2 linked regions of the Coturnix japonica genome follow. The protein of the gene in region 1 binds, or shares a complex with, the protein of each later gene. Links are inferred from orthologs where the notes say so. Each region holds a gene or a part of one and is shown on either strand. Other genes may lie near its edges.

Region 1 (4,493 bases):
GACACTACCTGACAGCAATCGTTTTGATAAAGTTGTTAAGAACGTGGGGAAAACTGGCTCAAAAACAAGTTGTCATCCTCACACTGTGCTCAGCTGTGTATCCTGCTGCACATCTGATGACAGCCCAAAACACAAGTTGCACATGAACACAGGACTCGGGGGGAAGACAGACCACTGGGTTACACTCTCATGAGGATAAGCGAGAGCTTACTGTAATACTTTGTTGTTAGTGACCTGAGAACATTTTACAGCATTAAAATGACAAGTGACGAGGAGACTGCTGCAGTTCTTTGGCTATTCTACTAACTCTAACATCATTCAACATTCCACAACATTCTAGTATTGCGACATAACAAAAGAAAACAGACCTCTGTCATTAAGCGTTTGAGCCCTTCTACCTCATCTTCTCCTGGATTGAGTTCACCACCAGGTCTGTTAAAATAATCAATGATTAAAGCTAGAGTTATGTTTTACAGTGTTAGCAGACTTTCACAGGTAAGTTTGGACACATTTCCATGCTTGCAGCTACAAATTCACTCAAGGTTTTTGCATTTGAGGTTCTAAATCTAACCATGCCCAATCTGAAGACAATAGGGTAGATTTCACCAAGACCATCTCTAATGGCTGCTACGTGCCCCTTAAAAAACAAAACAAAGCAAAACAGGCCAACAATAATAACTTCAGTGGGATGAAGTATAACAATATACATAATAATGATAGAGACACTTAGAAGGTTAAGTTTTAACAATAATAGAAAAGCACTGAAGTTGAAGAAGGGGTTGTAAACACCAGCTGTGCTTGTTCTAATCTCAAAAGCAGTACTTAGTGACGTGTGCAGGAAGCATAAAACTCAAGTGGAGAATTATCCTGCATTTCATGCAAGGATAATGAGAAAAATGAAGATACATTCTCGTCATAGTTGTTTGCAAAGGCAAACAATGTGCCTATTTCATCTACATACATGCCCCATATCAAAAAAGAATCTGGATATAGAGATAATTTTACTCCTCACCTGAGACCAAACACTGCAAATGTTAAAAACATAAAACCAAGAATACAAGGAGAATCACCTGTCCCAAGTCGAACCATTTTAAAATAAGAAAACAAGCGTGACCACCACTATAATCATATGACCAAAACTTCCTTCCAGTTGTGATAACACTGGAATAATTGAAGCACTTCCCTCACAAATTGAGATTCCTGTCCCTCTTATACCCAGCTGACCCAGCAGTTTGTAAATTCATAACCACTACTCATTTCCCAGGGTTTGCCATTTTTGCAGCCGTAGCATAAGTGTATTTAAGCATAACAGCTTGCACAGTGTAAGACCAAACCCTGACTACCAGCAGGGCTTCCAACAGGAACCTACCAGAGTGCAACAAAGATTTCCAGAGACTTTAGAACCAAGGCAACTCTCCACTACCCACGAGTAGAGTCAGATAAATACATTTTAGAGGGAAATTTCATCATTTTAAAAACAGTTCTCACAAACCATGCGCTTGGAACAAATGAATCTCATTAAAAACACCAAGCAGAGTTGGCCACATCTTACTTTGCGATATGTACATTTCAAGAGGTCTGTAATTTTCTGGTTGGACTAAGAAGGTGCTTTCAAGAAGCAGGCACTTACAGCTTGAAAAACGTCGTCCCCAGCTGCAGTAATAACACGTGGGGCAGCCGGTGCTCGTGCACTATCAGAACTCCTTCCACTGTCCGCCTCATGCCAATCTTGTCAAACTCTTCTCTCATGCGCTGGAACCGAGCAGCCACTGAACTGTCCTTCTCATAAAGGGGCTCCTTTGTGCCAAATGTGTAATTGGTGAGAGGATACCTAAAGGGGAAAAAAAGTATTACTACATAATAAGAAAGCTAAATTGACACCTCTAGCACGCAGTGTTCACCCTGCAGCTGAGCCTTCTGTACTCGAGGGAGCAGAAACTCACTCATTGCAAAGGACTACAAGGTCTGGGTTGCATGCTGCACTGCACACCCCATGCCATGCCAAGGGCTGCACCATGGCTCATGAGGGCAGGAAGTCATGCCGGTGGGATACGTTGTCATGGTGCCAACCCAGAAACAGGCAAACACAACCAGAAGCATCTACAGCTACTCTGCAGCCACCTGCTTTGACTCCGCAGCCTGGAGAAAAGGGAGAGGAAGCTCCTCTCTTGTCCCTTTAAGCCTTCACTAAGAGCAGCCCTGCAGAGGTCTTGGGGCTTCTGATGGATGAAAAATGAGACATGAGACAGTGTGCTGCAGCCTGGAAAGGCAAGAGAAAGGCTGCATCAACTGAGGGATGGCAACACGAAGAGAAAAGGGACTGTCCCCTTTGCTCTGTCCTCACGAGACCCCACCTGGAGAATTTGTGTCCCCCAGCATAGGAAGGGTACGGAGCTGTTGTAGCAGGTCCATAGGGAGAGTGATTTTTTACACAGGCAGCGATAAGATGAAGTGAATTAAGACTAAAAGAGGGAACATTCTTTACTCAGCGGCCGCCCAGAGTTCGGGCTGCTCCATCCCCGATGGTGGCCGAGCAGCGGATGGTGCCTGTGCAGCCTTTGATGGCGGGGCCGTGTGTGTCCCCCCGGCTGGTTGTTCCCGCAGCGCTGTGAGGCCCCTTTTCTCCCCGCCGTTCCGGACTCTCACTATTGCTATCACTATCACTATTGCTATCACTATCACTATCACTATCACTATCACTATCACTATCACTGTCACTATCACTATCACGCACCGCTCCCCTCCCGCTCCGACCCCCGAGCGGTTCCAGCCGGTTCCTCCCGCCCCCAGCGCGGCCCTCACAGGTTGATGGTCCTCTCCAAGGTCAGCGGCTTAGTCTGCTGGATGTACTTGTTCCCGAACTGGTTCACCCCGCGGGGCCAGCCGGTCTGCGAGCGGTTGGGCGGCACCACGGACATGGCGGGAGGCGGCGGGAAGTCGATCCGCCATACAACTCCCGGCGGGCCAAGCGGCCCCGCTCTGCCGGAAGCGCCCGCCTTCCACTTCCGACGGCGCCCGCCGCTGAGTCGTCCCTCCTGGCCAATCGTAGGGCGCCCTACCCCTCTCCCCGCCCCCCACGCTCTCTGATTGGCTCGGCACACGCAGGGACGGCTGGGATTGGTAGTTCGGTGTGCGGCGGCGGCATGGGGGCCAAGCGGCGCGGAGCGGCGGGCGGGCGCGGTGTGGAGAAGCGCGGGCGGCGGGAGGTGGAGGCCGAGCTGTGTGCAGCCATCGGTGATGTGGAGCTACGGGAGCGGGCGGCAGCGGCCTGGGACGGCGGGGAGCCGCTCCGGCACGGTACGGGATGGGCCCTAGGGGGGGTCTAGCGGCTTTCATCCTACTGCCGCCTGCCGAACTGACCGCCCGCTTTGTCCCCGCAGAGGCCGTAGCGGTGGAGCGGGCCCCGTTCCGGCACGGCGTGTTGCGCGGCCTCTTGGCCAGCCCGGCATTCGCGGCGGCGCTGGGCGATGAGCTGCTGGGCCTGGGATACAGGGAGAGACGGAACGACCTGCTGACAGTGCACCAGGTGGGACGGGACGGGAGCGGGGCTGAGCGACAGGGAGCACAGAGTGCACTGAGCGACATAGAGCACAGAGTGCACTGAGCGACATAGAGCACAGAGTGCACTGAGCGACATAGAGCACAGAGTGCACTGAGCGACATAGAGCACAGAGTGCGCACTGCCTGCAGCCCGCAGTGCCACAGCAACACCACTCTGGGACACCCCAGCGATGGTTGACACCCCCCCCCTCCCCGTTGAGCTGTGCCGTTGCCTCATTGCTCTTTCAGAGCGCAGATGTTCCCCAATGGCCACCCTGACCCTCTGACAGAACACGAGGCCATCGCTCTCACCTTATCACTGTCCCCTGGGAGCAGAGGCCAACCCCATCCTCACCACAACCTCCTTTTAGGGGTTGCAGAGCCGTGAGGTCTCCTTCAGCACCTTCTTCAATGCTTTTCTCCATCTCTCCCCATGCTGCCGCAGTCCGAGGAGCTGGGGGCCAGGCCGGAGCCCCACGTCAGTGCACTGAGGTAAGGCAGCAGGGTCCACGGGGCAGCACATCCTGGGCCTGCCTCACCCTGTGCTTTGCTCCCCAGGCGGGCGCTGAGCGGGACCCTGCGAGCGTGGCTGGAGGCTGTTACCCACATTGAGCTGGAGCCCTCCATTGACATCTCCTGCGCCAAGTATGAGAGCACAGGTCAGTCTGCCCACCAGCCTCCTGACTCCACATGGCACCACCCAAACCCCGAGTCTGAGAGCAGCGTCCTAGCGCTCCCTCAGCTCTGGAGCTTGGGGCTGAGCCCACCACCCAGTGAACCACAGCCTGTCCCTAACGCCTCCTGACCCTTCCCCATTACTGTGGTCATGCTGCTTGCAGCTGCAGCAGGGCCCAAGGCTGGTATTCCAACCCTGGATGGTGGCTGTTCCATCCAGGCTATCTCACCCCTTGCATGCACGTTGCTATGGCAGGCAAGGAACACTTGTACTGCTT
Region 2 (4,518 bases), on another chromosome or scaffold:
CGAACCATGAGGGTGGGCAGAGACGTGGCCTGAGCAGCAACGGAGCCGAAGGAAGAATGCGACGGTTGGAGCTACCCCCCTGAACCTCGGCCAAAGCCTTTGGAAAGATGGGCTTTCCTTGCGTGAAATGGGTCACGGGGTCTACAATGAACACAGCTGGCCAAGACCTCCTCGTCCGTGCTCCTGCCAAGTCCGTCCCTGCGGGCTCCACAGAGCCCCCCAGTGCGGGGCCAGGGCGTCACATCGCTGCGGAGTGAGGCTAGGACCATCTATGGCCATTGTAGAAAGCCCACGGCCAGGCCCCAGCTGGAATACTGTGTCCAGTGATGGGCACCTTACCTCCGCAGGGATGGACAAATTCTGGAGGAGATCCAGAGAAGAGCTACTAATAGATATGGAGGGTCTTAGCTATGTTGGTAGGCTGAAGAGCTTAAGCCCATTCAGTTTGGAGAGGAGGAAGAGGAGGCTACGAGGGATCTTCGCAGTGAGTGAGCACCTAAAAGGGGATCATAAAGACTCGGGTCAGGATCTAAGCAGACTCGGCGGCAATTGGACATAACCCCAGAAGCTGCTGGTGGTCTTCCCCCCCACCCCAAGGTCTCATCCTGACAGCTCAGTGGTGGGGCCCAAGGAGCTGCCCGCCATGTGCCTGCGCCCCACTCACGTTTGCGAGCCTGAGCCTCGAACTGGGACAGGTTCTGCCGGGTGGCCAGCCTCACCTCCACCTTATCCCCATTGAGCACTTTGCCAGGCAGGAGCTCCAGCAGCTTGTGGACCGAGTTCTCAGAGGCCACCACCACCTCCGCGTACCTGCAGGGAGGGTCAGTGGTCAGCAGACTCCCAGCCCTTCACCCCCTGGCAGCTCAAGGACCCACACCAAGCAGCATGGAGCTGCGTGCCTCCATCAATCCCCCCTCCTGTTCCAGGTGCTTGTGCTGCTGACAGCCTGTGTTTCATCCTGTACCATCTCTGTACCCCCTCACTGCTCCCAGGATGTGGCTATGGGGGCCCTGGCTGCCCCATTCCTCCTCGTTCCCTTCCCCCTCAGCTCTCACCCTTTCGACTGGCCATTGGCTCGATTCTCTGCAAACTTCAGCTCCACCACGTCATAGACACCCACTGAGCGGATGGTCTGGATCAGCTGCTGGTCTGTTGTCCACTGTGGGGCAGCAAGGCAGAAGCTGGGATGGGGTTCAGTTCCCGCAGCCCTCCCCAGCACCCCATGCCCAAAGGCAGCCATCCCACTGGCTCAGGGCTCGGCTCTGCGGCCTCTCAGGGCTATAAAAGTCCCTTTCCCCTTAGGCCAAGCTCAGCTTGGAATATCAGCTCAGCACAGAGCAAGGAAAACCACTGCTCCAAGCAGCCCTACACCTCCAAAGAACCCTCACTTGTTTGTTCCCCCAAAGCACTCACCCAGGAGAAGCTGCCCACATAGACAGCTGCCCGCTTGTTGCGCAGCCCACTGTAGGTATACAGGATGGCAGGGGCTTTGCTGTTGGCTTTGGGGGGGGGCTCCTGGCGAATTTCAGGGGGTGGTTCCAAGCTGCTGGTGCGGCTCTCGGGGGGCTGCGAGCTGGCAGTCAGCACGTCGTCATACAGGTCCATCTGGTCAGCATTACTGAATTCTGAGTCCTGCAAGGGGAGAAATGGTTAATGGGAAGCTGGGGTTGAAGCTGTGGCTCAGGAAGGGCTCTCTGGGTTGTCAGGGCACACGGGGCTATGCGGACTGCTCTGTTCTGGCCCCGCAGAGTGTCACATCCCAGAGGCTTCTGCTGCCTCGTCTTCTTTCTTCACAGCTGGTTTGCTGGCTGTGACCTCAGCAACTGAGCAAGACCCAGCTTGTTCTATGCTCCACTCTCATGGGTGCACAAGCAGAAAGCAAACAGCTCATGGCTGAGTATCCTGCTCCCTTCAGCAAGTACCAAACCCCTCCTGCCCTGTCCGCAGGCTGTTCCATCACCTGGCTACAGCAGCGCAATTCCACTCCCTTTAAGGCCACCAACTTCCTCCTTGTGCTCTCTGCAGCAGTTCAACCTTTGGCAGGATAAACCCAGAGATCTCAGCACTGCAAAGGCTGAGCCATGCCTTCTCCAAGCCCTCCAGAAAGCCACTCTCTGATCTCTGAGACCGCAGCAGCTCCATCTGCCCATGCAGAAGATGCCGCTCTCCATCAGCAGGCAGCCCTAAGGGTTCACAGCAGCCCAGTATGAAACCATATTCACAGTGATGCTCTCTCAATGACAACCATTCCTAAAGCAAGCCATAACTTTTGGCATTGGGCTCCACTGGCTCCTGTGCCAAAACCCAGTCTGGGTTTATGGTTTTCCACATTGCCTTCCACAGCCTGTGCTCACTCCCAGCTCTGCCCCTGTCCTGAGCAGCCGTTTTTCCTTCAGCTCTCGCTCTGTCGTTCCATGGACCTGCCGTAGAACTGCTCTATTATTTCCTATTCTGGAACAGCTGCTGCTTCTCCCCCCTCCATTCACTCTCCCCCAGACCCCACTTCTATTCTCCCCCCCTCCCCAGCTCCACACCTGGTTGAACTCCTCGTCAGCGTAGATATCAATCAGGTCCACTCCCTCCGACATGTTCCCAGGCGAAGCGCGCACGGCAGGGCTCTGCGCCGAGGGATGAGTCACCGCAGCGCCCTTCTACCCCCCGCACAACCCCCCCGTCAGGGCCCTGCCTGCCCCGGAACGGGGGTCCCACACCCCCCGCCCCAAAAGGCCCGTCCCGTTCTAGGCCCCCCCCCCACGCTCCCGCGAGCGCGCGCGCGCCAACTGCGCTCACCGCCACCTCCAGGGCCGCCACGCCACGCCCCTTCCGGCTTCTTCCTCCCGCCTTTGCCGCGCCCCTTCCGGCTTCCTCCTCTAGCCACGCCCCTTCCGGCTCTCCCTGCCTGCCATAGAGACGAGAGGGCTGGGTGAGCAGCGCGCCCCCTGCTGGTGGTGCGTTAGGAGGAATCATGGCGGTCAGCAGGGTGAGGAGGGGCTGCGGGGTTGCGAGGGATATAGAGAGGGTTGGGAGGTGTTGTGGGGGGCAGTGAGGAAGGTGGGAGCGGGCTTTTGCTTTAGGGCTGTGTGTGAGGACTGGGGCTGGAAGGGAGTTGGGGCCTGGAGGGGGATTGGGGCCTAGTGAGGAATAGGGGGAGGATTGGGGCCTGGAGGGGGAGAACAGGGAGAGAATGGGGTCCGGAGGGGGAGGGGAAAGGGGNCCGGAGGGGGAGGGGAAAGGGGATGGGGATTGAGGCCTAAAAGGGGAGGGGAAAGGGGGATGGGGCCTGAAGGGGAAGGGGAAGGGGGAGGGTGAAAGGGGAGGGGAAGGGGAAGGAAGGTTGAGGCCTGGAGGGAAAATGGACAGGAGCAGGGTCTGGGCGGGTGGAATGTGGGGGAATTGTGGCCCTGGGTGGAAATGGGATCTGTATGTAGGATGGGGGAGATTGGGAATGGGAGGGCCTGGAGGCTGACTGTGGAGCTGTGGTTTCTGAGGACTGAAGGGGAATGAGAGGCCTGGCTGGTCCTATGAGTGGTGGGGGTATTGGCGTTGTGTGTGGACTTAAGGGGGGCATGAGGGGATGGAATCATGTGCAGGGTGGGAGGGATTGGAGCCTGGAGGGGGAACAAGGGGCAATGTATGGGGTCTTAGCAGGGCCTGGGGTGGGGTTTGATTTGGGGCATGGGGGTTGTGGGGCTCTGCTGGAGCTCTCCTCATCCCATTCCCATCTCCTCGGCAGCTGTGCTCGCTGTCTCGCCTCACCCTGTGCCGCCCAGTGCTGGCAATGCTGCGTGCACCACGAGGCTACAGCGGGGCCTCGCAGGGTGACCCGGGGAAGGATGTGCTGGAGATGCCACTGCCGCCATGGAAGGAGCGCCCCAATGAGTCCCTGGACACCAAGAGAGCACGTCTGCTGTACGAGAGCAGGAAGAGGGGCATGCTTGAGAACTGCATCCTGCTCAGGTGGGGCTTTGTGCAGACTGTGGTGGGGCAGAGGCAGGAAGGAGCCTTTCTGTCTTTCTTTTCTGTCCCATTGACCCCCATGTGATCTCCTGCAGCCTTTTTGCCAAGGAGAACCTGAGCCGTATGGATGAGCGGCAGCTGAACCTCTATGACCAACTCATCAACGTTCCCAGCAACGACTGGGACATCTACTACTGGGCCACAGGTACATGTGCACTGCACTGGGCCATGGGATGTGTGGGTGACTTGGGGCAATGCTGAGCTGCTCTCCTTCACTCTGCCTCTTATTTGCAGAAGCTAAGCCCACGCCGGCTGTGTTTGACAATGAGGTGATGGCCATGCTGAAGGAGCTTGCTAAGAACAAGAAGAAGGAGCAGAGGCTGCGGCAGCCAGACCTGGAGTACCTCTTTGAGTCCACAAACTGACAGCCCTCAGGGCACAAGAAATAAAGCTGTGGCTGCGAGCTACTGGTACCAGTGTCCGCTGCCTCCACGTAGTCGGGCTCTGTGGTTCATCCTGTTCCCCTGTCCATCTGTCTGTCCCCATGCCAAGCTATGGTCC

The links.
Region 2: the proteins of NUDT21 (region 1) and CPSF7 are in contact, whole or in part, in a crystal structure (PDB 3N9U), measured with the Homo sapiens proteins. The link is inferred for Coturnix japonica from reciprocal best matches to the Homo sapiens genes NUDT21 and CPSF7. Residues at the interface, in NP_008937.1 of Homo sapiens: Arg68, Asn152, Glu154, Pro156, Tyr158, Tyr160, Pro162, Ala163, His164, Ile165, Thr166, Lys167; in NP_001129512.1 of Homo sapiens: Trp91, Trp92, Thr93, Thr94, Asp95, Gln96, Glu112, Lys114, Phe115, Glu117, Asn118, Arg119, Ala120, Asn121, Gly122, Gln123, Ser124.

What each region holds. Positions count from the first base shown.
Region 1 is NC_029526.1:523,001-527,493, forward strand, and holds the start of NUDT21 (cleavage and polyadenylation specificity factor subunit 5), read right to left. Parts: upstream 2,991-4,493; 5' UTR 2,919-2,990; coding exon 2,803-2,918; intron 1,832-2,802; coding exon 1,631-1,831; intron 433-1,630; coding exon 369-432; intron 1-368. Other genes in the region: prolyl 3-hydroxylase OGFOD1, read left to right, coding at 3,144-3,297, 3,381-3,526, 3,986-4,032, 4,099-4,199. UniProt on the Homo sapiens protein: Component of the cleavage factor Im (CFIm) complex that functions as an activator of the pre-mRNA 3'-end cleavage and polyadenylation processing required for the maturation of pre-mRNA into functional mRNAs.
Region 2 is NC_029520.1:299,120-303,637, forward strand, and holds the start of CPSF7 (cleavage and polyadenylation specificity factor subunit 7), read right to left. Parts: upstream 3,002-4,518; 5' UTR 2,981-3,001; coding exon of another isoform or gene 2,968-2,980; coding exon 2,791-2,967; intron 2,619-2,790; coding exon 2,535-2,618; intron 1,633-2,534; coding exon 1,414-1,632; intron 1,160-1,413; coding exon 1,056-1,159; intron 811-1,055; coding exon 665-810; intron 1-664. Other genes in the region: SDHAF2 (succinate dehydrogenase assembly factor 2, mitochondrial), read left to right, coding at 2,966-2,980, 3,734-3,957, 4,053-4,162, 4,252-4,382.